Linked DNA regions of Tribolium castaneum. The protein of the gene in region 3 binds, or shares a complex with, the protein of the main gene of each other region. Links are inferred from orthologs where the notes say so. Each region holds a gene or a part of one and is shown on either strand. Other genes may lie near its edges. The genes, in order: eIF3c, eIF3k, eIF3m, eIF3i, eIF3b, CSN6 and eIF3g1.

The links.
Region 1: eIF3m (region 3) and eIF3c share a complex: the UniProt entries of both Caenorhabditis elegans proteins name them as parts of the eukaryotic translation initiation factor 3 (eIF-3) complex. The link is inferred for Tribolium castaneum from reciprocal best matches to the Caenorhabditis elegans genes cif-1 and eif-3.C.
Region 2: eIF3m (region 3) and eIF3k share a complex: the UniProt entries of both Caenorhabditis elegans proteins name them as parts of the eukaryotic translation initiation factor 3 (eIF-3) complex. The link is inferred for Tribolium castaneum from reciprocal best matches to the Caenorhabditis elegans genes cif-1 and eif-3.K.
Region 4: eIF3m (region 3) and eIF3i share a complex: the UniProt entries of both Caenorhabditis elegans proteins name them as parts of the eukaryotic translation initiation factor 3 (eIF-3) complex. The link is inferred for Tribolium castaneum from reciprocal best matches to the Caenorhabditis elegans genes cif-1 and eif-3.I.
Region 5: eIF3m (region 3) and eIF3b share a complex: the UniProt entries of both Caenorhabditis elegans proteins name them as parts of the eukaryotic translation initiation factor 3 (eIF-3) complex. The link is inferred for Tribolium castaneum from reciprocal best matches to the Caenorhabditis elegans genes cif-1 and eif-3.B.
Region 6: eIF3m (region 3) and CSN6 share a complex: the UniProt entries of both Caenorhabditis elegans proteins name them as parts of the CSN complex. The link is inferred for Tribolium castaneum from reciprocal best matches to the Caenorhabditis elegans genes cif-1 and csn-6.
Region 7: eIF3m (region 3) and eIF3g1 share a complex: the UniProt entries of both Caenorhabditis elegans proteins name them as parts of the eukaryotic translation initiation factor 3 (eIF-3) complex. The link is inferred for Tribolium castaneum from reciprocal best matches to the Caenorhabditis elegans genes cif-1 and eif-3.G.

Annotation. Positions count from the first base shown.
Region 1 is NC_087401.1:16,334,285-16,338,558, reverse strand, and holds the start of eIF3c (eukaryotic translation initiation factor 3 subunit C), read left to right. Parts: upstream 1-1,474; 5' UTR 1,475-1,606; intron 1,607-1,853; exon of another isoform or gene 1,854-1,856; 5' UTR 1,857-1,861; coding exon 1,862-1,951; intron 1,952-2,001; coding exon 2,002-2,766; intron 2,767-4,274. Other genes in the region: beag (protein Red), read left to right, coding at 385-1,124. UniProt on the Caenorhabditis elegans protein: Component of the eukaryotic translation initiation factor 3 (eIF-3) complex, which is involved in protein synthesis of a specialized repertoire of mRNAs and, together with other initiation factors, stimulates binding of mRNA and methionyl-tRNAi to the 40S ribosome.
Region 2 is NC_087402.1:8,161,871-8,164,521, forward strand, and holds eIF3k (eukaryotic translation initiation factor 3 subunit K), read right to left. Parts: upstream 1,413-2,651; 5' UTR 1,306-1,412; coding exon 1,253-1,305; intron 1,193-1,252; coding exon 973-1,192; intron 921-972; coding exon 546-920; 3' UTR 501-545; downstream 1-500. Other genes in the region: Syx13 (syntaxin-12), read right to left, coding at 1,700-1,878, 1,932-2,338, 2,385-2,584. UniProt on the Caenorhabditis elegans protein: Component of the eukaryotic translation initiation factor 3 (eIF-3) complex, which is involved in protein synthesis of a specialized repertoire of mRNAs and, together with other initiation factors, stimulates binding of mRNA and methionyl-tRNAi to the 40S ribosome.
Region 3 is NC_087400.1:753,795-757,195, reverse strand, and holds eIF3m (eukaryotic translation initiation factor 3 subunit M), read left to right. Parts: upstream 1-1,471; 5' UTR 1,472-1,601; coding exon 1,602-1,646; intron 1,647-1,703; coding exon 1,704-1,883; intron 1,884-1,928; coding exon 1,929-2,858; 3' UTR 2,859-2,901; downstream 2,902-3,401. Other genes in the region: Sec15 (exocyst complex component 6), read left to right, coding at 1-285, 336-527, 571-808, 853-994, 1,042-1,228, 1,274-1,400; CysRS (cysteine--tRNA ligase, cytoplasmic), read left to right, coding at 3,234-3,401. UniProt on the Caenorhabditis elegans protein: Component of the eukaryotic translation initiation factor 3 (eIF-3) complex, which is involved in protein synthesis of a specialized repertoire of mRNAs and, together with other initiation factors, stimulates binding of mRNA and methionyl-tRNAi to the 40S ribosome.
Region 4 is NC_087394.1:748,471-751,956, forward strand, and holds eIF3i (eukaryotic translation initiation factor 3 subunit I), read right to left. Parts: upstream 2,138-3,486; 5' UTR 2,013-2,137; coding exon 2,010-2,012; intron 1,894-2,009; coding exon 1,700-1,893; intron 1,322-1,699; coding exon 538-1,321; 3' UTR 501-537; downstream 1-500. Other genes in the region: mitochondrial carrier homolog 2, read right to left, coding at 3,486-3,486. UniProt on the Caenorhabditis elegans protein: Component of the eukaryotic translation initiation factor 3 (eIF-3) complex, which is involved in protein synthesis of a specialized repertoire of mRNAs and, together with other initiation factors, stimulates binding of mRNA and methionyl-tRNAi to the 40S ribosome.
Region 5 is NC_087399.1:10,626,930-10,630,225, reverse strand, and holds part of eIF3b (eukaryotic translation initiation factor 3 subunit B), read right to left. Parts: intron 1,758-3,296; coding exon 922-1,757; intron 1-921. UniProt on the Caenorhabditis elegans protein: RNA-binding component of the eukaryotic translation initiation factor 3 (eIF-3) complex, which is involved in protein synthesis of a specialized repertoire of mRNAs and, together with other initiation factors, stimulates binding of mRNA and methionyl-tRNAi to the 40S ribosome.
Region 6 is NC_087398.1:15,420,553-15,424,504, reverse strand, and holds the start of CSN6 (COP9 signalosome complex subunit 6), read right to left. Parts: upstream 2,801-3,952; 5' UTR 2,715-2,800; coding exon 2,510-2,714; intron 2,459-2,509; coding exon 2,327-2,458; intron 173-2,326; coding exon 21-172; intron 1-20. Other genes in the region: uncharacterized protein C9orf85 homolog, read right to left, coding at 3,074-3,634. UniProt on the Caenorhabditis elegans protein: Component of the COP9 signalosome complex (CSN), a complex involved in various cellular and developmental processes.
Region 7 is NC_087395.1:17,787,696-17,790,665, forward strand, and holds eIF3g1 (eukaryotic translation initiation factor 3 subunit G), read left to right. Parts: upstream 1-1,458; 5' UTR 1,459-1,575; coding exon 1,576-2,421; 3' UTR 2,422-2,470; downstream 2,471-2,970. UniProt on the Caenorhabditis elegans protein: RNA-binding component of the eukaryotic translation initiation factor 3 (eIF-3) complex, which is involved in protein synthesis of a specialized repertoire of mRNAs and, together with other initiation factors, stimulates binding of mRNA and methionyl-tRNAi to the 40S ribosome.

The DNA.
Region 1 (4,274 bases), on a different chromosome or scaffold from region 3:
AAATCAGCAAAATTTTCCTTTAGATTCTCTTCTCTCGCTTATAAAAATTCTTGTCTAGTTTCTTTTAGAATTCTTCTTGTTCATTTTTTAGCATTGTTTTTTTACTGTCTTTTAGATTTTTTTAAAGATTTTTATGATTATCTCCTAAAGACTTCTTTAGATCTTAAATCCGCAATTTTTTTTATATTCTCCTCTCTCGCTTATAAAAATTCTTCTCTAGTTTCTTTTAGAATTGCTCTTATTTATTTTCTAGCATTGTTTCTGTACTTCTTTTTGGATTTTTTAAAGGTTTTTGTGATTCTTTTTTAAAAATTTTTACATGAATTTTAATGTTAAAATTCCTATTAATTTAATACCAACATGACTATTAAAATTTTATTTCAGACGATGAGGCTGAATCAGACATTCCAACAACTTTAATCCGTTCAATCGCCGACGTTCCGTCATTTGAACTCACCACAACCCTCACAACCAACGACATTGTCATAAATAAATTAACCCAAATTTTAAGTTACTTGCGCCAAGGCAACCGAAAGAACAAAAAAACCAAACGGGGACTCCCCGAAAGTCGCGAAAACGAACAACCGGAAGAACCCGAACCGAAAAAAACAACAAAACGTACAACCGGTGATGACTCCATCTATGGAGATATTGGTGATTACGTACCCACAAGAAGTGGTAAACATGGAAACTCGTCACGTGACCATAACAAACACACGTACTTTGATAAACAAGAGGAAGCGCTTGAAAATAGCGGACCGACTTTCAAAGTCAGTAAATCGGCACAAATCCTTAATAAACTGGCTCAAGAGCCTGAGGGATATGCTGAGTGTTATCCCGGATTGGAGGAAATGAACGATGCGATTGATGATTCTGATGATGAGGTTGATTATTCTAAGATGGACTTGGGGAATAAAAAGGGGCCGATTGGACGCTGGGACTTTGACACAGCTGAGGAGTATTCCGATTATATGAACCAGAAGGAGGCTTTGCCGAAAGCAGCCTTCCAGTACGGCCTTAAAATGGCAGATGGGCGCAGGTCCAGGAAGCATAAGGATAAGAACGAAAAGGCGCATTTGGACAGGGAGTGGCAAAAAATCCAAAGCATTATCAAGAAGAAATAATTTTGTTGTGTATTTAGGAGATAAATAAGTTAATTTAAATAAAAAATATATATTGGAAATTTGATTTTCTACAACTTTGTTCCTTACTTTTTTGTCTTACTATCGAGAGTTTAATGCTCTATGTGCCTGTATTTTTTCTTTGCTATCTGCTAATGGAACAAGTGCGCTCTCTGGTGACAATAAAGGAACTACCGAAAACGCGAGCGTTTCATTTGTACGTCTTTGGTATCTTAACCGTAGAATCCTTACTTTTGACACAACTTGAACCTAAATACCACCACCTAACCCTGGCTCTCGACTTAAGGGCCCTTTCGTGCCCAAAAACAAATTAATTTGCCCTTTTTTTACGATATTACCATAACACTACCAATCACAAGACAAAAAAGTCCCGATTTTGACAGTTGGCACAAGTTTTTGGCCATTTTGTGGTTACAATCGTGTCGGAAAATCTGTTAAGTGAAAAAAAGGCTTTAAACACGTAAGTTTTGCCTCTTTCACGTGTATTTTACCTTAAAATTGTGGTTCCGACATTTCTAACTATAATTTTGGGGAGTTCCGTCTCCAAACATGAACCACATGGGCCCCAGTAACTAGCTTTAAAGTAGTCTTAAATTAAGTTTTCGGTCTTCATTTGGCCCAAAGAAGCGAAAAACCGTTACCTAACGCCAATTTAACGCCTAGTTATTGCGTTATTTCACGTAATTTTTTTGAGGTTATGTCACTTTGTAGGTAAAAAAATGAGTCGTTTTTTCGCCGGTTCGGACTCAGACTCCGACAGCTCCTCCGAGGAAGAGCCAATTCAGCGCGCGCCAGCGCCCGTTTTCACCGTAAGTGAGCCCCCATGTAGCTTAACATTTTTTTAATGGCCCCCTTCTAGTTTAGCGACGATGAAGAGGAGGTCAAACGTGTGGTTCGCTCCGCCAAAGAGAAGCGTTACGAGGAACTCACTAACATTATCAAACAAATCCGCAATTACAAAAAAATCAAAGACATGAGCAGCATGTTGACCAGTTTTGAAGACCTTCAGAAGGCCTACGTTAAAGCGCTCCCAGTGATCGCGAAAGAAGAATCGGGGCAAACGCCCCGTTTCTTCACCCGTTGTTTGGTCGAAATGGAAGATTTCATCAACGAAATGTGGGAAGATCGCGACGGACGCAAAAACATGAGCAAAAACAACAGCAAGTCTTTGGCTTCAATGCGCCAGAAGTTGCGCAAGTACATCAAAGATTTCGAGGAGGATATTGCCAAGTTTAGGGAAAACCCCGACCAGCCGGACGATGAAGAAGAGGAAGAGAAACACGAGCCTGAGCCAGACACTCAAACTGAAGCGCCGGCCAAAGCTGTGGCTAAAATTTCCAAACAGATTGTTGATGATGAAGGGTCGTCTGATTCGGACGATTGGCCTAGTGATAGTGACTCGAGTTCGGATAGTTTTGATGAAGATGAAGGGAAAGGGACTATGAGGGAGCGGTTTTTGAAGAAAACTGGGCCGGCGCATGAAGATGATGAAGAACGCGATCGGAGGAAGGAGGAAAGGAGGAAGGAACGTAAGGAGAAGGAGAGGCGGAAGGTGAAGAAGGAGGATGAGGAGGATGGGGAAGGGGAGTGGGAGTTTGTGAAGGGGGGAATCGCAATTCCGAGCGTAAGTATCAGTACTTTAAATGTTTTTCTATTAAAAAAAATGAGGAATGACCTCTTTTCTTTTGTTATTCGGCTGTCTTGATTAGATAACACAGTACAATGAACTTTTTTTTTATAAAAAAGCTTAATAAGACCTTCTTCTATGACATATTAAAAATTTGGAAAGATATTATTTATGATTTTCTTGTTAGAGTCTGTCAAAAATAAACATTCTTGAAAAAATCAATAAAACAAAGTAAAAAATTCCGCTGTCTTGATTGGATAACACAGAGCAATGAACTTCTTTTTTATAAAACAGCTTCAGAAGACCTTCCTCTATAACATATTAAAAATCTGGAAAGATATTATTTTTGGTTTTCTTGTTAGAGTCTGTCGAAAATAAACATTCTTGAAAAAATCAAATAAAACACAAAGTTAAAAATCCCGCTGTCTTGATTGGATAACATAAAGCAATGAACTTCTTTTTTATAAAACAACTTCAGAAGACCTTTTTCTATAACATATTAAAAATCTGGAAAGATATTATGAACAATGAACTTCTTTTTTATAAAACTTTTTTATAAAACAGTTTCAGAAAACCTTCTTTTATAACATATTAAAAATTTGGAAAGATATTATTTTTAGTTTTCTTGTGAGAGTCTTCCAAAAATAACCATTCTTGAAAAATTCAAATAAAACACAAAGTTAAAAATCCCGCTGTCTTGATTGGATAACATAAAGCAATGAACTTCTTTTTTATAAAACAACTTCAGAAGACCTTCTTCTATAACATATTAAAAATATGGAAAGATATTATTTTTGGTTTTCTTGTGAGAGTCTTCCAAAAATAACCATTCTTGAAAAATTCAAATAAAACACCAAGTTAAAAATTCCGCTGTCTTGATTGGATAACATAGAGCAATGAACATCTTTTTTATTAAACAACTTCAGAAGACCTTTTTCTATAACATATTAAAAATCTGGAAAGATATTATTTTTGGTTTTCTTGTTAGAGTCTGCCAAAAATAACCATTCTTGAAAAATTCTAATAAAACACAAAGTTAAAAATTCCGCTGTGTTGATTGGATAACATAGAGCAGTGAACTTCTTTTTTATAAAACAGCTTCAGAAGACCTTCTTCTATAACATATAAAAAATTTGGAAAGATATTATTTTTGGTTTTCTTGTTAGAGTCTGTCAAAAATAACCATTCTTGAAAAATTCAAATAAAACACCAAGTTAAAAATTCCGCTGTCTTGATTGGATAACATCGAGCAATGAACTTCTTTTTTATAAAACAGCTTCAGAAGATCTTCCTCTATAACATATTAAATATTTGGAAAGATATTATTTTTGGTTTTCTTGTGAGAGTCTGTCAAAAATAACCATTCTTGAAAAATTCAAATAAAACTCAAAGTTAAAAATTCCGCTGTCTTGATTGGATAACATCGAGCAATGAACTTCTTTTTTGTAAAACAGCTTCAGAAGACCTTCTTCTCTAACATATTAAAAATTTGAAAAGATATTATT
Region 2 (2,651 bases), on a different chromosome or scaffold from region 3:
CATCCGAAACAATCACACGAATACAGATTATTACTTCTGTAGGAGACGAAACAAGATATAAAATAAAAGGAAGAAATTTATATTTTCCTTTAAAAAGTCTGGGAGACCATCAACGGTTTGAGTGCCAAAGATATGGTGTCGCGAATTTTTTGATAGGAAATTTAATTCTTTACAACGTTGTTCCTTACACTTTTTTGTATCTGTAAGCGTATTCGCAGCCTTTTGAAAAATATGGGACACAGTGCCAAAAGTTTTAATTTATTTAAAATATAATTTACGATAAAATTTTTGCATTGTTTGTCTTACTATTGAAATTTAATCCCCAATTTGCTTGTATTTTTTTATTGCTGTGTGTTAACTATTACACAAATGCAACCATTTTTTCAAGTTCATTGCTCTGAAAACTCAAGTAACTGCGCTCTCTGGTGATATTAACGGAACTATCAAGGACGGGGACGATTTATTTGGTCGTTTCGTATCCTAGCATTTAGAGGTCCGTAGACACGAAGTAGTTTTATTTTATTATTGAAAAATTAAAATACAAATCAGCGACATGAAGCCATAATGGCTCCGACATTTTCGAAATCGATTTTCTCGTTAATATTTTTAGTTTTGATGTTTTCGTCTTGATTGGCAATGAAAATCAACTGGCCCTGTTCCTTCCATCCATACTTATTGACCCAGACTTTCAACGTAAGGTCATCAACGTCTCCCAATAATTCGGCCAAATGGGACCTTTCAATGGTCTGATACGTGATTCCAACTACGTGACACACAAATTTCCGGATTGAGTCTAAAAATCCGGTAATTCGTTGGGTCAACTCTGGCATTGAGTGGATTCTGGTCCAGAACAATTGAAAATCGCACTGTTCCAAAATGTCGGCCAAGTAGATAATTTGGTTGATGGGTTCTTCCGCCAGCTAAAAAATGTTTTTTTTTTGCAAAACAAATATATTGACTGAATTTATTAACCTGTCGTTCGTTCAAAAGACATTTGCACAAAATAAAATTCGTGTTTGGAAGGTTTGTCAAAGCCTTGAGCAGGATTTGACTTGTGATGTCGATATTGAAGCTACTAGGGTTAAATTGGTACAATTTAAGGACGGCCAAGTTAGCCTCTAAATCGTAGGCATTTTCGCGCGATTGTATCTCCACGTAGTGCTCCAAAGTCGGTAAATTATCAGGGTTGTACCTGAAAATAGAGGTTAAGTCCAATGCATGGTAAAAAAACGTAATAAAAGAATAACAATACCGTTCAATGCCTTTAAGCATTGCTGCCACAGTTTGTTTCATTGCTTCGGCCATGGTTTTCAATTTGTTTTTCACTAAAAAATGAGAAAAAAGCACAACTTTCTCAAAAAACACGTCTTAATGACGTTTAAAATTCAAAGTTTTTGGAACAGAGGCCGCTGTAAGCGATAGGGAACTGTTGTTTTATGTGTTGCCTACATTTTAACTACAGAGTGTTTCATGTCACTACTTATTTTTTGCGGTTCTCATAGAATTTTATGGATAATTATACAAAAAAACTAAATATCATTCATATTTTGTGATTAAGATAATTACATAAATAAATATAAATTCTATGATAAGATTAGTTGCTATAAAAAGTCTGTGTATACTGTATATAAATATATCAAGCAGTTATTCACCACAAAAACAGGTTTGAGTAATTATAAAGAAAAGTAATATTACGCAGCTACTTTTTAAACTGTACAACTAGTATTATAATAATTATTGCAACTATTGCAAGTCCTATCAGTACCATGAATAGCAACTTGCGCCTATACTTATTCTGATAACTCGCTGCTGTAATTAACTGTTCTGTCGCTTCTTCCACATTGCCAGTTGCATGGTCTATGCTATTTTCAATAGTATCTTAAAAAAAGAGTTGATTAATCTCCCGATTTTTTTAAAAGTTAGCTCAATACCGATTGTTTCCGCTTGGGCGTGCACTAAGGACCCCAATTCGCGCATGATTTCGTTAACATCAAGTACATCGGCTTCAATTTGTTTAATCCTAGCTTCTCTCTCCATGAGCATATCTTGCTCAAACGCCATTTCGCGTGCAAGCTGAGCTTGCCGTTGCTGTTCTGTGTCTTCTTCCGGCGTGTAGTCATTTTCTATGCTTACAGAAACCAATAAATGTGATTTCTGCTTGTTGGCCAAGTCCTTTTGTAAGGAATAGTAGCGCGTGATCGCTTCTTTAAAATTCTCTTCTAACTTTTCTACTTGCAACTGCTGCTGTTTCTCGCTTTTGGATACAAGTTGCTTGAGCTTGTGAATGTCTTTGCTTGTGACTGATGCGATCTGGTTTGTGCTCAATTGAGTGACGTGTCTAGAATTAGGGAAGTGATTGAAATTCCAGAAGGGAAAAGACTTACATTGAACTTCTTAATCCCTGATTGTCTTTTCTGGTTCCGATTGTTTTTAAAGCGTTGTCTAAGGTCTTGAGACTTGAGTTGATTGTGTAAATGTTTGTTACGACGCCATCGCATAAATTATTGAATTCGGGGGAGCGCTTACCGATGAAACCTACGTCAGTGGACGCAGTAGCACCGTAATTGTAGGGATGTTTACTCATTGTTGTCTTCGACGCCCCTTTTCGTTTGTGATTTGACGTTTCGTAAACTTAAAACTGAGGTTAGGAG
Region 3 (3,401 bases):
GGAGTTGGTGCGTGAATTACGTGACCATTATACCGAAGTTTTGATGCAGAGATGGGTGCAAGTCTTTCGGGAAATTCTCTCGAAGGAGGATTTTCAGCCGATTCAAGTGTACGATCTCGAGGAGTATGAGCATATTTTGTCGTCGTTTCCATGGGACGAGGACTTGCCCAACGATGTGGTTTTCCCGCACAAGTTCCCCTTTTCGGGGATGGTGCCCAAGGTCTACCAACAAGTCAAGGAGTTTATTTACGCGTGTTTGAAATTCTCCGAGGATTTGAATTTAAGGTTTGGTTGTTGAATAATTCCAATCGAAGTGGGCTGTGACTGAATTGTAGTCAAGTGGAAGTCGACGAAATGATCCGCAAGTCGATGAATTTGCTCCTGACGCGGACGTTTAGCGGTTGTTTGTCGTCAACGTTTCGTAGCCCGCACATCAATCTTCAGGAAATTATCCAAATAATCATCGATACGGGCTATTTGGAGGAAGCCACGGTCTACTTGGACCAGTTTATTTCAAATATTACAGGGTAGGGCACAAAATTAATCCGCCAATAAAAACAAAACATTTAGGGAGGAGTCTCGAGGGGTGTCCACGGGAGTGGTCCAAGGCCAACCAGCCATGTTCCGCGTGGCTCGTGAAGACGCCGTGCGCCAAATTTGCGAAAAATTGCGCCAAAAATTGAACGAGTTTTACGAATTGGAGAGTTATGATTGGCTGTTGGGTGAGCCGTCAGGACACGCCTCTAGTTACATCTCCGATTTGATTGCTTTCCTCCAGACGACGTTTCAGAGTTTCACCAATTTACCGGTTTGTTGATTGGTTTTGTTGATTTTTTATCGAGTGATTTGTAGCCGGAGGTGGCGCAAGTTGCGTGTAAGTCGGCGTGTGAACACATTGCCAATTCGATGTTTCAACTGTTGATGAATGACGAGATCAAGCAAATTTCCATGGGGGCCTTAAACCAAATCAATTTAGATTTACTACAGTGTGAACGTAATTAATCGAAAAATGATAACCGGAAATTTAAACAAGTTTTACAGAATTTGCGGCCTCTGAGCCCGTCAAAGGCCTACAAGAGGACGTCCTCTTGTCGTATTTTACCAAACTACGGGAGACTTTAGACCTGTTCACGTCATGGGACTGGCCCACTTATTTCCACGACTATGGGCAAGAAACCAGCAAATATAAGCAAGTCAATCCAGATGATGCGATAGTATTGCTCGAAAAGTAACAAATCGGGTTATTAAACCACAAGTTAATTGATTCTTGTAGATTGAAAGAAGGCGATAAGAAAACTATGTTCACAGTATTGAAAAAGAACGAAAGAGACAAGAAGAAGTTACTGGAAACGGTCCTAAAACAACTGAGACAGCTGACCCAAATAACGCCCAACAAATAACCGACTTGTTGAATTAAATAATAAATTTTATTAATTATTCGGTGTTTTAATTTTTGTGGCCAACTTGGCCACCAAATTTAAAAAAGTAACAACTTGGCGTTTGCGCATGCGCATTGCCAACATAACCATCAAATTTGCGGTGTGGTTTTTCCCCTTAAAACAGTTAAAAATTGCAAAAAACCGTGAACTAACTGTAGAAAAATGCAAGTGCCCCCTGTCTTTATCGACGTGAGTCCCGAGGACCAGGTAGGCGCCCATTTGTGGCATTTTGTGTCCATATGACACTTTGAGGTTATGTTTTAGGCGCAAGAGCTCCGCATTTACTTAAAAAGTTTAGGCGCTGAAATTTCGGAGGAAAAATCAGTCAAGGGCATCGAAGACGACCTACACAAAATAATCGGCGTATGCGAGGCCTGTTTCAAGGAGGGCCAGGAGCCCGAAGTTGAGATGGTGCTCAACGACATTGTCTCAATCATGGTGCTTGTAAGTGTCTCGAATCATTTGCGCGTGGTATTGGACGTGTTTTAGATCCCGGCCGACCGGTCCGAGAACATCATCCTGGCCTTTTGCCAGAAGCTGCTCAAGGCTCAGGGCCCCAAACTGGGGCTGGTGTGCCTGCGCGCCTTGTGGCTGCTGTTCCAGTCGCTTGACGAGACGTCCCCCATGCGCTACCACGTCTACTACCACTTGATTTTAATTGCGGAGAAAACGGACCAGGTCAAGTCGGTGTTCCAGGATATCGAGCATTTGAAGCAACAGTTCGCCCCGTGTCCACCGACAAGCGAGCAGTTGCAGATTCTGTACCGGTTGTTGCACCAGGTGCTGCTAAAGAGCAACCACAGTGAGCAGGCTGCCAAGGTCATGATCGAACTTTTGGGGACCTACACCGATAAGAACGCCTCGCATGCCCGCGAGGACGCGATCAAGTGCATCGTCTCGGCCCTGGGGGACCCCAACACCTTCCTCCTCGACCCCTTACTGGCCCTAAAGCCGGTCAAATTTCTCGAAGGGGAGCTAATCCACGACTTGCTTAATATCTTTGTCAGCGAAAATTTGGCAACGTATTTGAAATTCTACCAAGAACACAAGGAGTTTGTCACGTCGCAGGGGTTGAACCACGAGAAGAACATGCAAAAGATGCGGTTGTTGTCCTTCATGCAACTCGCTGAGACCAACCCGGAGATCAGTTTTGACGTGATTGAGAGAGAGTTGCAGATCAAGGCTGAGGAGGTCGAGGCGTTTATTATCGAAGTCTTGAAGACTAAACTGGTGAGGGCCCGCATGGACCAAGCCGCTCGGAAAGTCTACGTCTCAAGCACCATGCATAGGACTTTTGGGCGCGCCCAGTGGCAACAATTGAGGGATTTGCTCCACTCGTGGAAAAGCAACCTCAGCATGGTCCAGGAAGGGATGAAGAACGTCACAGCGGCACAGCTCGAAATGTTGAACCAACAATAATTGTTTTGTAGCGATTAATTTAAGAATAAAAATTTTGGAACTAGTTGGGGATTTTTATTTTAATACCACGTCAAGTAACTAACTAAATTTGCTGCTTAAACTACGAAAATTACATTATTGCGCCCCATAATTTAATGTGGGGGTTTCACCCGCCACGTGTCGCACGTTCCTTGCCCCCAATCGGGGTCAAGAGCCGCCGGTGCCGTTTCATGTTGGCAGCACTGTGTGGTGTTGTGGCCGCTGATTCCGATTTTGTGGGAATTCCGTGCCTTCTTCTGATGCAATCACAGTTTAATTTCCGCTAGATAACACCGAAGAGTGCGTTTTGGTGTTGGTGTGTTAAATAATTGCAAATTTGGTGGTTGGAGTTAGGTTATGTCGAAACGTGTGCAGCCCCCGTGGTCGGCGCCGGAGGCGTCTGGCGGTCCGGTCCTGAAAGTGTTCAATAGTCTGACGCGTCAGAAGGAGGTGTTTAGGCCGATTTCGGGCAAAAAAGTGACTTGGTACAGTTGCGGGCCGACTGTTTACGACGCCTCGCACATG
Region 4 (3,486 bases), on a different chromosome or scaffold from region 3:
AGTAATTTTTCAGTCTCAAAAAACACAAAACGTAACTAAATGCAGTAATACGGAGCTGAAAATTTCATTATTTTTGCTTTTTCGAATGTTTTAGTTACATTTCACAAGTTGGAAGCGCCGGAATAAAATTTACCAAAATTATTTTCGTAATTAAATTTCAGTTTCAAACGAACGAAAAACACATTAACAAGGGCTTTATTTGTGTATTTTCTGTCAAAAAGTCAAAAAGCTATGACAGATAAATCCATAAAATCCGGGTTTTTGTTAAAAAAAAACAGAACATAGTTAGGTATTTTATTTTGGAATACTCTGTATACAGATTAAAATATTTTTAGAACGTGCCTAATAAGTCTTACAATAGTAAACCTAGCGTTTCAAAAAAATTCAACTTGATAGCTTGCATAGAAAAAAAGTTATGGAGCACCTGTATAATCATTATTTAAAATCATTGCTCCGAAAACTTAGACTTGGACGTAATCTAGGAACAAAAACAACCAAACTGTTTTATTAAAAAATTTATTAATACCAGCTATCCATTTAATAATCGAAATTATACTCAAAATATGACGAATCGAAATTATGCACTCTCACATAACCATCTTCACCTCCTGAACTATAACTCTTGCCATCTGGATGAAACGCCACACTATTAATCGGCCCAAAATGCCCTTTAACCCTCCCAAACTCTTCTTCAAACACCATATGGAAAAACCTCGAGTCAAATTTCCCAACCCTTGCCGACGTGGTTGTCACATCCATGGCATCTTGCCCTCCGCCCACAACCACATGCTCAAAAATGGGGCTAATGGCAGCTGAATTAACCGGCCGTTCTGTCTTGTAAGTCTTCAGTAACATCAAATCAGCAGCGTCGAACAGTTTAGCTGTGTGGTCTTTGGACGCTGTCACAAACATTGTCCCGTCTTTATTCCACTGCATATCGTTGATTAAATGTTCGTGTTCACGTGTTGAACTGATCTCTTTGCCTGACTTCAAGTCCCACTTGATCAAATCCCCGTTTTCGTGCCCGGTTATTATAGTTTCGTCCAGGTTATCCCATAGGATTGACGAAACACGGGAACCTTTAATCGGGATGCGTAAAATGGGGTCGGCGTGCGAGATGCTTTCGTCCACGTTACGGACGTCAATAATGAAGATCTCGCAGTTGTGTTTGAGGGCTTTGTCGGTGGTGTACACTGCCATGTTGCCCGAGTAGCTAAACAGACACGTTCGGACTGATGAATTGGTTGAGATGTTCCCGATTTCTTTGCCCGTTTCACAGTCCCATACTTTAAGGGTGTTGTCACCGGCACCTGACAGGAACCTATAAAGTTTAAATAGTTTAAAAAGTAGCAAAATAGGTGATATTTCTGGTCTAAGTAGTATTTGATTAAATCAGTAAAAGCAAATTAATCAAAACTTGTACAGGGTGTCTCACCTAAAACTTTCGAGATTAATATCTGTTTTATTAATTTTAATTTTAAAATTACGATTTTAAGACTTCAGTTTTTGCATTAATTGGATTTTAATCTTTACTTTCCTAAATATCTGCATTTTAATTTTCATAAAAATACGTTGACAAATAACTGAGATATCAGGCTCAAAAGTATTAGGTGAGGCACCCTGTATATTCGCTACTGAGGCAACCTTATCGCGCACCCATTTGCTTTATTGCAGCAATAAATTTATTATTATTATTAACCTAGTGGTGGTCCAGTCGACGTCGATGCACCAGACAGCCCCCTGGTGGCCGTTGAAGGTTCCCAACCTCTCGCCATTAAGGGAGTACCAAACGTTGGGTTTGTTGTCCTTTGAGGAGGAGAAGAGGAGGTCGCCCTCACGGTTGTACTTGATTTGGGTGATGGCACGTTCGTGGCCGTGGAGTAGAAGGGGTTTCTGTGGGGGTTTTGAGGTTAAATTTAAGCGAACAATATGTGGGTGAAATTGTGGGGTAATGTAATGTTTTACGGTTGTGGGGCGTTTTTTTCGATTGATTGTGAGTCGTTACTTACCATTTTGTTAAAAAACTGGGCGTTTTTTTAAGGATTTTAATGATTAAACACGCTTTTTTTGACGGTTGTTTGACAGAAGAGGTGTCAAAATTAACTGTCATGGTGGGTTGTGCAGTGGCGGGGTTAAGTCAGTGCCGGCTCAGGTGAAATAACCGTATTGTCAAAATTAACTGATAAATGGCGTTATTGCCATTTTGGCAATTTTTAGCAGTTGGGAAAAATATGTAATAAAATTAACTGTGATTATTGATTAAAAACTCTTTGGGCCTTTACTGATTTTTTTTTTTAATTATTATCTTTACAAACTTAATCTTTTAAAATAATATTTCATTGTAGCGATTTTGTTTATTTTTGTATGAAATAAAGGGCTTTTGGCAGTAAAAAAATTAAGTAGAGCCATTAATTTAAGACCTTGGGACCTTACAATCTTTTTTTTATCTCAACTTTTTAAACTTTATTTTTTCAACTCCCTTTTCGTGTTTTAATTTTTGTAGGAAGCAAAGCCTGATGATGGGAATTTGATTGTAAAAAAAATTAAGTGTGGATAAATATTCCCTGGGGCCTTACCTATTTTTTTTTCTTTTTTTTTTGGAAAATATTTTAATTTTTCAAACATTATTTTTTAACCCCCTTCCCATTTATTGATTTTGTTCAATTCTGCAAGGAATATATAGCCTAGCCATGAGACTTTCGACTGTAAAAAAATTAATTGATGACAAACATTCTGCTTACTGAATGTTTTTCTTTTGTTTTTTTGCAAATGTTTTACTTTTTAAACTTCATTTTTTTCAACCGGCTTTCCGTACTGCAATTTTGTTTATTATTGCAGGAAATAAAGCTCTTGGATAGTGTTCGACTGTAAAACAATCAAGTGGAGGTAAACACTCTTTAAAACCTAACAGATTTTTTCTTTTTATTTTCAAAATTATTTTGAATTTTAGAACTTAATTTTCGCAACGCTTTTACCGTGTAAATAATAAATATTTTTGCTAGTAATAAAGCGCTCCAGTAGGGCCTTGGCTTGTAAAAAAATGAAGTGGGGACAAATATTCCTTGTAATCTTATTGAATTTTTTTTCTTTTTTTCTTTTTTGAAAACTCCTTGACTTTTCAAACTTTATTTTTTCAATCTCCTACCCGTGTAGCGACTTTGTTAATTTTTGCAAGAACGCGTCCTACTGATTTCAGCAACTGTAAACTAAAGAAACAAAATGGGGATAAACACTTTTTTTCGAAATATGTACAGGGTGTAATAAAAAACAAAGAAACTAAAGATTTAATCCAACTTTAACTTACCTTTATATCAAGTCGCACATTTTAAAAGTTAAAGCCAAAGTTTTTGCTTGCTTAATAAAAAAAACTCCAATTAAAATCTGAACAAGAATTTTATTGTAAAATAACACAATACTCTAAATATTTACATACAATTGCGTCAATTTGTAATGAAAAAAAATCCAACTACTGAATAACATGAAATT
Region 5 (3,296 bases), on a different chromosome or scaffold from region 3:
TAGAATAGTATTTGTTATGAATTTTATAATTATTAGCCTCCACTTTGTCTTGTTTCCTTTAATATAAAGGTCGTTTTATTTTAAAATTATGATTTATACTATTTTAATATAAACATTTTTGTTAAATGTTTTGAATTTTAAACATGTGACTAATTCACCTAATGATACTTTACGTAACTTGACAAAAAATTTGTCAAGTTTGTTTATTCATTATAACTTTCAGAGTACATGTAAAATAAAAAAAATTGAAAGTCAAAAACAAGACAGCAAATTTTCTAGTAAACATACCCTTCATTTGAGGAATCACAATTGAGATCATGCTTTTCAATCTTTTTAGGGTGTTCGTATTTGAAAGTGCTTTAAAAGTGCACCAAAAAGTCTCCCCTTGTTAATAAAAATTGACCTATTCAGTAATTTTCAAAATTTTCTTTTATTTTCTGAGAGCTCGTTTAGAAAAGCACCTCGAAAATAACGGATTTTGTTAATTGACCCAAAAGCTGAAAACCAAATTTGGTTAAAAATGTTATTAGTTTTTTTGATTCACGGTTCATCGTCTGTTGTGAGTTTAATTTGAGTAAGATTTAATTATTTATTAGGATAACAGACACAGTGCAATTTATTTTGGTTTATTTATTTATTGTTAAACAAAATAGTTCCCCTCCTCGTTGTTTCTGCACGAATGGTTTGCTAATTATTTATTGCCCTAAAGAAGCCCCCCTCATAAAAACTGGCAAAACGTTGGTAGTAATAAACAAAAAAACAAACAAAATATACTGCCCCTCTCTACTATGCCCCCCCCCAAAAAAAAAAACGATAATCTGGGAAAACCCCCGCAAGAATAATTCATTCAATTCAACAATACTTCAAATTACAGAGGTTCGGTATCAATTTCTAAATCAAGCTTAAAAGCCAAAAACCCACCTGTATCAACTTTGGTTTTCCAGTACGAAACGGACGTCGTGACGTATCTTCCCGTCGGATCCCACTCGACATCCGACATTTGGAAATGATCCGTCGTATTCATAACCAAAAACTCGTGCGTATCAACAAACTCCAATGATCCACCACCATTCGATCCCAACCCCGCCAAAACAATAAACTGGCCTCCGGGCGACCAAAACAGGTGATTACACGCCCTTTTCTCGAACTTTTTAAGCAGAATTGGGGCTTGTCCCACTCTCACTTCGTAAAAACTGACATTAATATTCGGCGATTCTCCATGTATGACCGCAAACTTCGATCCGACCGGTTCCCAAGCGAACGCCTGGATGGGTTCCTTACTCTCGACGCTATCCACCGGGATCTGTTTTTCCCTCATGTGGAAGATCTCGAAGTTGCAGTACATTCCGCTGTACTTCGTCTCATTTTTCTCTTTGCGAACTTTCGAGTAACGGTCGACTTTGACGCATAGATAATCGCCAGATTTTTGCCAGTGGATTTTGCAATCGGCGACGTTGAAGAGGTTCTTCTTGCGGATTTCGTTGCGGTTGGGGATTTCAAGGAGGGTTACGCTGGCTGGAACGTCTTTGTCTTCTGCCACCCAATAGGCGACGATGTTGTCGGTGGGCGACCAGCTGAAGTCGCGGATGCCGCTGATTTTGATTGATTTTTTCTCAAGGAGACCGAACGAGGGGGTTTCGTAGATGGAGAGGACGTCGTTGCCCACGCGTCCGAAGTATTTGTCGTCGTGAGACCAGCGGAAAATCGGCCATGAGGAGGGGCCTTCAGGGTTGAAAGAACGCTTTTCTTGGCCAGTTCTGCAACAATTAGTTAAGAAGTGTTTTCAAAAAATTATATAAACTCATGAGTTTAGACATTTAATTTTTTTTACTAAAAAGTCAGGTTTTAAAGTGTACACGGTTCACATTTGTAAAAAATAAGCTTAAAAATATCTGTGTGGAAATAGTATATTAGAAAACAAGTTTCATAAAACCAGTCTTGAAGCACGAATTCAGTTTTAAAGAATAAGTACTTCAAGGTTTTATGAAACGAGTTTTTTTATACTGTTTTGTGTAATTTGTCCCCATTTTGCACTTTTTGTTATTTTAATCGATTTAGGGATTTTTAAGCCAACTGGTAATGTCTCAATTTTGAAAGTGAAAAATTGACATACTTTTTTTTGTTTTATCCAAAGCTTTAACGTAATACCACATTTAACTTCAGTGCAGTTCTGCCAACCTTCGAACATAATACAAATAATATGTGCAGTGGCGGACGCGAAATTTTGGACGCCTATGACATTTCGTTGACTTAAACGTATGGAATACTCCATACCTTTCGACTACGAAGTGACAGAAGTGCTCAAAATTCCGTATCTGCTACTGTACCATTAAGTATTTAGTAAATAAAATTTGTAACTTTTTGTTTGAAAAAATTGAAAGAAACGGTAAATTTAATCAAAGATCAGGTTAGTTATGCCAATGATTTATTATTATTTAAATACAGAGTGTTAGGTAATGGCTTAGCAAAAATTTAAAGATTTATGTAAATTTATGTAAATCAAAAATGCATGGTTTTTCAAAGAATTTGTTCTGAACTTTTGTTCTCAAAATTTGAGAACCGCTGAACTAGAATTATAAAATTTAGCGTAAATTCTAATAATATTGGCAAAACAGCTGAGCTAAAATAACTTGTTGGTTCACTACGTTATTCTTCTATTTCAATTTGTGTTTTGTTACTAAAGTTTACGAAAAAATATTTTTTTTGCCAAGACCGGGATTCGAACCTTCCGCACAAATGAAAATGTTGCCTTATTTAATGAAAAAAAAAAATATAATAATAACCGCTAATAAACTACCATAAGCCCAGTGGCTCTCAACAGGTGGGTTAATATTTTTTTTTTAAAGAAAGTACGCACCTTTTGGAAAAATTATATAAGGGTTTTTAACTCGTCTGATCATGACAAATTCACTTACACAATATTGCTAAGCCATTCCCTAACACCCTCTACATAGAGGGTCTAAAGTACAGCATTTCCGTCAAATATAACAGACGTAACCAGGGTATACATAAGTGTTAAATTAAAATCAGATTAAAAAAAATTAATAAATATCCATTTCCAATATTTGGATTCCCATTTGAAGACTGTTAAAAAATTCAACAGTTCTATTTTTACCGGAAAACAACCCTAAATTTCGTAAAAAACATTGTGACTTGATGAAAACCTTAGCAAAAAAGTTTGTTTCGTTTAAAACTACACAGAAAAAACCTCTAGTTTTGACCAATTTATTTTTTTGTTAAAAAACAGTGAACAAAATTTTCATGAGGAATTTTGAGCATATTGTATATGAATTGCC
Region 6 (3,952 bases), on a different chromosome or scaffold from region 3:
AATGCAGCCTGTGTACGAACATCAATGTTTTTGTCGTAGGGATTTAATTTAAGCAAAATTGGAGATTCATTAATGTCGCATATTTGCTTATGGATTTTAATGTCAGTGGTGTTGGGGATGTCTCCGGTGGTGTACCAACCAATGAAATCCATGTCACTGAACACCTGCTTGACTGCAATAGATTGTTAACAAACAATTTTTGTGTTTTCTAGTGTTTGAATTTACAATAAGAGTAGTTTTCTTATTTTTATTATTTGTATTCACCTTTCAAGCCAAGATCTCTGCGCTCTCTGGTGAACCACTCCCTTGCGAAATTTGATTTTGGCAGCTAGAGTACCATAAAAGATCTATTAAAAGTGTCAAACAGACAAAAAACGTTTGTACCTTTTCAAAAAAATTACATTTAAATTTCCCGCTATATGGCAAAGCAGCATTTCACAATTAACAACCAGAAAAACCAAAGGTCTTAACTTGAAAGGCGAATAATTGTCATAACTAAGCGCAAAACTTGAGAAAAATTAATAAAAAAAAAAATGAAAAAATATATACACCGTATTCGGTAAATGGACTGCCATCGCTTTACTGCGAACTCACAGGAGTCAGAAAAATATTATTCCGCATTTACATGAACTTTACTGTTTATAAAATTTTCAGCTACTGTATCCATACTTTACAGTTTATAGCAACCTTGTTAGAGTTGCCACCTGTCCGGTTTTCACTCAATACAATCCGGATATTAGACGATATGTCCGGTATCCGGATCAAATGTTAATTTGTAATAAATGTCCAGTTTTCTTAGGGTAATTTAAATTTTGTTGTATCTAAAATTAAAATTAACGACCAATTTTAAAAACTCTGCGATAGAACGCTTAATTCCATCTGTAATTTTTCTGAATTCGAAACTATCTAGTTGTTTCCAACAAATACTTTGAATATTAAAAAAAACTTGGAGTGAATTGGAAAAATGTAGATATACAACTTCTAAAAATTGAATTTACATTTTGCAAACAGGATACCGGATAGTTTTGCAAAAAAAATGATGCAGAAAGGTGGTTTACTGTTTATACAATGTGTTTTTAAATGATTCTCATCTAGTTAACTTTGAAATAATAAATACAGAATGTTAATATTCAATGTCTAAATGCCTATCATTAGTTATATGTTCTTTTACATGAGAAATTCACAGATGATTAGATGTGAATCATTCTAACACTCATTGTACAGGCTGCTGCATTTTAGATGTCGGAATAGGGGAACTCCAAAACTAAGAGATTTAGAGAAAAACAAGTGACACATTTTCTGGTCCGTTTTTTTAAAAAATAATTTTGGTCAACCGCATCCCGCTATCATCTTTTGTTTTCGACTTATCAACAGAACTTGACATTTTAACGAAATCTTAAAAAAAATCATATATATCTTCCTTATTATAAAAGATACACATTTGAAACACAAACATTATACAAGCACTTTTTACAGAGAATTTAAAAATGTTATCAGCGATTTTTTTAACCTTTCGTTTAGCTGTAATAAGTTTTATTTTTTTAAATATGAATTATAGGAGGCTGTAATATTTTTGTAAAGCTAATTTTTTTCTGATTTGATGTGTAATACATTCTTTTTAAATATTAAAAAAAATACATTTCGCTTTTTCTGTATAAAGTTGACACTAAAATGTCAACTTTTGTTTATAAGTCGAAAACAAAAAACGATAGCAAGATGCGGTTTAGACCAAGATTATATTCTCAAAAAACGGACCCAAGAATGTGTCACTTGTTTTTCTCTAAATCTCTTAGTTTCGGAGATCTCCTATTCCGACATCCAAAATACAGCACTCTGTACAATATTATTACTACAATATTTTTTATACTAATGCTGTTTGTTATATTTCTTGTATCAGTACATACTATTAAAACTATTGGCAATGTTTTTTTGGTTTTGTAATATTTTATTTGAAAATAAATTTATTTTTATTAAACTAAGTAAAAATTCTTAATACAAACGAGAAGTCAGGTAATAAGATGCCATTACCAGAGTATTTTATATACGATAATACGATAATATAAGAATGTAAGTTATTGTTGTTAGTCATTTTATTGTGGTGTCCAAAGCTAAAAAAAATCTGATGGTAACCCTAAACGTTGCCTACCTCCCACAAAAAATTTGCAGTCTGGCTAAACTTCATTATAATTTACAACAGATCTTATTCAATGAAATTGAAGAAATAAATGAGTCTCAATTACAACAAACGCAACCAACCATACAGAAAAAATCTTCCCTACTCTGATTAGTGATTACAAATTCCGTTGACCACACGGTACATACTTACATTGTTCTTCCTTCATGTTGTAATAATCCCTGTCGATAATAACATCCCCTCCAATTACACTAAATACCAGTTCAAATGAGTTCATTATTTCAATGTTTCGCCCCTTCTGTTTACCAATCAAAGCCCCAATCACTTAAAATGTAACATTATAAATAACTAACTATACTGTAAATGGTGTCGTACCTCGTTGGACTGAGCCCTCTTGAGCCTTTTCACGTGTCCAGTGCTCAGAAACATTCATTATCACCAAAGGGTGCAATGAACAAGTCACAGAACCGACAGCCCCAGCTGCCATCACACTTTTTTCCGAATCTTCCGCCGGATTATTTGCAACATCAGCAGAAGCCGGATTATCGACTTCCATTTCCATTGATTCTTTCGTACTCATATTAATTATTACAAGAAATTGAATCAAAATGTATAAATAACACCGCTAACAAAATGACAAATGACAGCGCTTTGACCCTTTGACAGATGTCAATGTCACAAGTGGCGCCAAACTTAAACGCAACATATTAACATATTCCTCAAATTTTATTAAATTCAAATACCTAATTAAATTTACTCATTAGACGAATTAACGTCATCACTTCCATTATTTCTGTAGGACGCATATAATTTATTACAAGATAATTAACCGAAATGACAAATAAGATCGCTTTGACAGAACGTGGTGCAACAAATAAAAATATTCGCTCTTTTATTTTATTATTTTAATTAAATTCTACAACCAATATATTACAAAATTTAATCATCCGACGAATCAACGTCATCAAAATCGCTGAAGTCGTCCAAGTCATCGTCAATCTTAAGCGCGTTGAGTTTGCTTTTCAAATCTTCCTTTCTCTCCTCGTCATTCGTCGAATCTTCCTCACTTTTTTTGCTCATGTACCTCAAAAACGTCCTCCGTTTGCGTTCCGGAAGCGTATGTAGCAAATTCTTCATTTCGTTGTCCAGTTTGAGTTGTTCCTTTTCGTCCGGTTTTGTTGTAATAACTTCTTTCGTTTCACAACATTTTGTACAAACACCAAATTTTTTTCCACAGTCTGTACACATCACATGATACGCTTTCTTCACGTTTTTCTGATCACATCTGACACATTTTCGTGGCTGTGTGAGCGGTTTGTATTTTTTGTACTTTATTTTCCACTCGATTATTTCCTTGCAACGGACACAAACGTCGCTGATTTGGATGTTGTTAATGTTTTTCGTGCGTTGACTTGTGTCGTGGAGGGTGTTTTTGAAGGCGGTTTTGTTTTGATGTTTTTGGGAGCGACTCCTTTGGGCGTTACCTTTTTGGGTGCTCATTTTTTCTGGAACGAAAACGTAGCTAAATGGGCTTTTATGTCTTTAATCAATTTTTTTGTTAAAAAAACTCATTTTTATTGATTTCTTTGCCTATTTCAATTTCAAACTCTTTATTGAATTGTTGAATGACCTAAAGATAAACACGCCAATAAAAATCAAAAAAGGCAAAAATAATTAAAATATGTTCGGCAAAACTTTCTCATTTTCTGTTTGTTTTTAGCAAAACGCTCGAAAATGACAAAAAGAATAATAAAATAAAATAAATCTCAAAAAAACTGACAATTTAGTTTGAAAACTTCATTTTTGACAAAGTTGTTA
Region 7 (2,970 bases), on a different chromosome or scaffold from region 3:
ATGATTTCAATTAAAAAAGATTATTCGATAACTTATTTTAAAAATGATTTCAATTAAAAAATGGTGGAGGCGCCGGGTTGTTTATTTAGTAAAATTTTATAATATTAATAATAAAATGCTAAAATGAGTTTTCTCATTTTATTTTATTTTATAAATTGTCCTAATTTATATACAGGTGTCTCAGTAATGTGAAAAAGTCCATTATTGGCTTAAATTTTAGAAAATTAATTTGACTCACCTAAAATTATTTTCAGGTATTATAGGGTATTTTTGAAATTAGCTAAAATGCAAACATATGTTTTTTTAAATAGAACACCCTATATTTTTTTGCACTTTTATATAATTTATAATAATTTTCAAAGAGGACTAGATTTTTTTTTGATTTTTTTTTCAGTTTTAAAAATTATTTTCAGAATTAGATAAAGCAGTGACCGCATTTTAAAAAACTTTCTCGCCTACAGCCCGAGTAAAAGAATGTATCCTGGAAATCAGTTTAAAAAATGTGCTGTAGAACACTGTGGAATGTGACCAAAATTCGACTCTTTTTAGCTCCCTTTATTATAGTTTGGAACACATTTCTTTGGCAACCCATTGAATACATCCTTTGGATATTATGTTTGATAAAAAATAAGTTTCATCCAGTAAGCAGATCGGTCCAGGACGACCTTAGCTGGGATCCTCTATTAGCAAAATCAAATTTTTTAAAATCACGTTGCTCAATTTTTACATATTTCTCTGAATGGACGAAAATTTAATTAGATCTAATTTAGCATTCCCTTTATACATAATCGTATTTTTATTGGATTTCAGAGACATTTCAAGTTATTTTAACTCAATTTCTCTTTTTTATCTAAGGCGGCGCAGAATGTTTCTTCTCTAGAAGGCTGTGAAAGATTTTTTCTAAAGCAACAGAATCGTAGCCGTAGCCTTCTAGAAGGATACCTAAATTTTCACAAATGTCTCAATTGGCGACAATACATTTATAAATAATAAGCTGCATTTCTGCACATCATCAGAAGCAACATGAACCAAAATATCAACTATTTTAATGTAGGTATACTTACGGCGTTACACAGTTGCGACAGAAAGTTTCACAAGCAAAAAAACTTTATTATAGCCAATAAACGGATGCAAATTTAACACTCCCGACACAAATTTAACTAATTTAAGAATGCAAAACATTAACTATTGGCAAAAGAACGCAAAACACAAGTCACACATTTTCTGTGTACAAAATCTAGTAGTTGATGGTTTTCAAAGCCACCTTTCCGAATAAGTTTCCCAATTTTAAAATTTCATTACAGAATCCTGTAATTATGTGTTTGTGGGTTTGTAACACGACAGCCCCGTTTGTCGGGGTTTATTTATTAATCGGTTTATTAAATAAATTTTAAAATACATGGCTTTATTAAATATCAACAAAATTAAATTGTATTGCAAAAAACAAAAATAAATAATTTGCAACGAAATTCCCCAAAGGTTGGCGAGTCTGTTGTTTGACAGTTTGAGGTTAACTTTTGTGAACGTGATTGTCGCACCATATTTTCCAAAAAAACGTTTCAAAATTAGCTAAAAATGCCTGTTGCCGAAGAGGTCAAGTCCAGCTGGGCTGACGAGGTGGAGTTGGAGGGCGGGTCGCTCCCGCCCCCGACCGAGGTGTACGAAAACGGCTTCAAGATCGTGACCGAATACGCGTACAACGAAGACGACAAAAAAATGAAAATCGTGCGGACCTACAAGATCGAGAAGCGCGTCGTTTCAAAATCGATCGCTTTCCGCAAGACTTGGAAGAAATTCGGCGAGTGTGCCAACGACAAGCCTGGCCCGAACCCGGCCACCACGATCGTCGCCGAGGACGTGTACATGCAGTACATCACGAGCAAGGAGGAGGACAACAAGCAGGAAGACGACGCTTTGGAGAAGCTGAAGGCTCTGGGCGACAAGAACGTGGTCAAGTGCCGCACCTGCAGCGGGGACCACTGGACCTCCAAGTGCCCCTGGAAGGACACCATGCTGGCCGGGGGCAAAGTGCCCGACGACAAGAAGGGCCCGGCGGTTCCGTCAGGGTCGGATGCGGGCAAGGCCGGGGGGTCCAAGTACATTCCGCCGAGTTTGCGAGATGGGGCCGTCAGGAAGTCCGATAATCTCAATATGGCGCGCAGAGACGACGCCACGGCGATTCGAATCACCAATCTTAGTGAATCTACCACTGAGACTGATTTGGAGGATCTGGTGAAGCCGTTTGGCCCGATCCAGAAGTTGTATTTGGCGAAAGACAAACAAGCCGGTTATTGCAAAGGATTCGCTTATATTCATTTCAAGTTTAAGAACGACGCTGCTAAAGCCATTTCTATGCTTAATGGACACGGTTATGATCATCTTATACTCACGGTGGATTGGTCTAAGCCACACCCTAATTGAAATGTATTTTATAAGTTTTATTTGTATTGAATAAAAATGCTTTAGCTAATGTTGCGTTTTTTCAAACCTACAATACAACAAAATACGTAGACATTTCAGTTTTAAATAATTCGAACAGAGGTGAAGATTGGTACAGGTCTTAGGTACACTATTAAAATAAAATATAGAAAATTCTCAAGTGTTGAAACTATCAGCTCTTAGCATTTTTCGCGTAAACGGTAGGTAAACATTACGGTAACTTCTCGGAAAAATAAAAAATCCCAAGCAATTGAGTTTTTTTAACTCGAGAGGTTTGTAAAGGCATACAATACCTGATAGAACTTTGCTAAAGCTAGTTAATTGTTTTGTTTTTTTTGAAAAGGTAAAAAATCTTAGACAATAGTTTAAGAAGTCTGCAAAATATTAACTATTGCTGGCTAATTTAGCAAATAAATAAGGTTGGTTTTTGGTTATAAACTAACCAATAAAAATAAAATAAAAGGTTAATAAACTAACTAAAAGATTTATTAACCAATCAAAGAACCTTCTGGTTATTTAATATTAATAAGT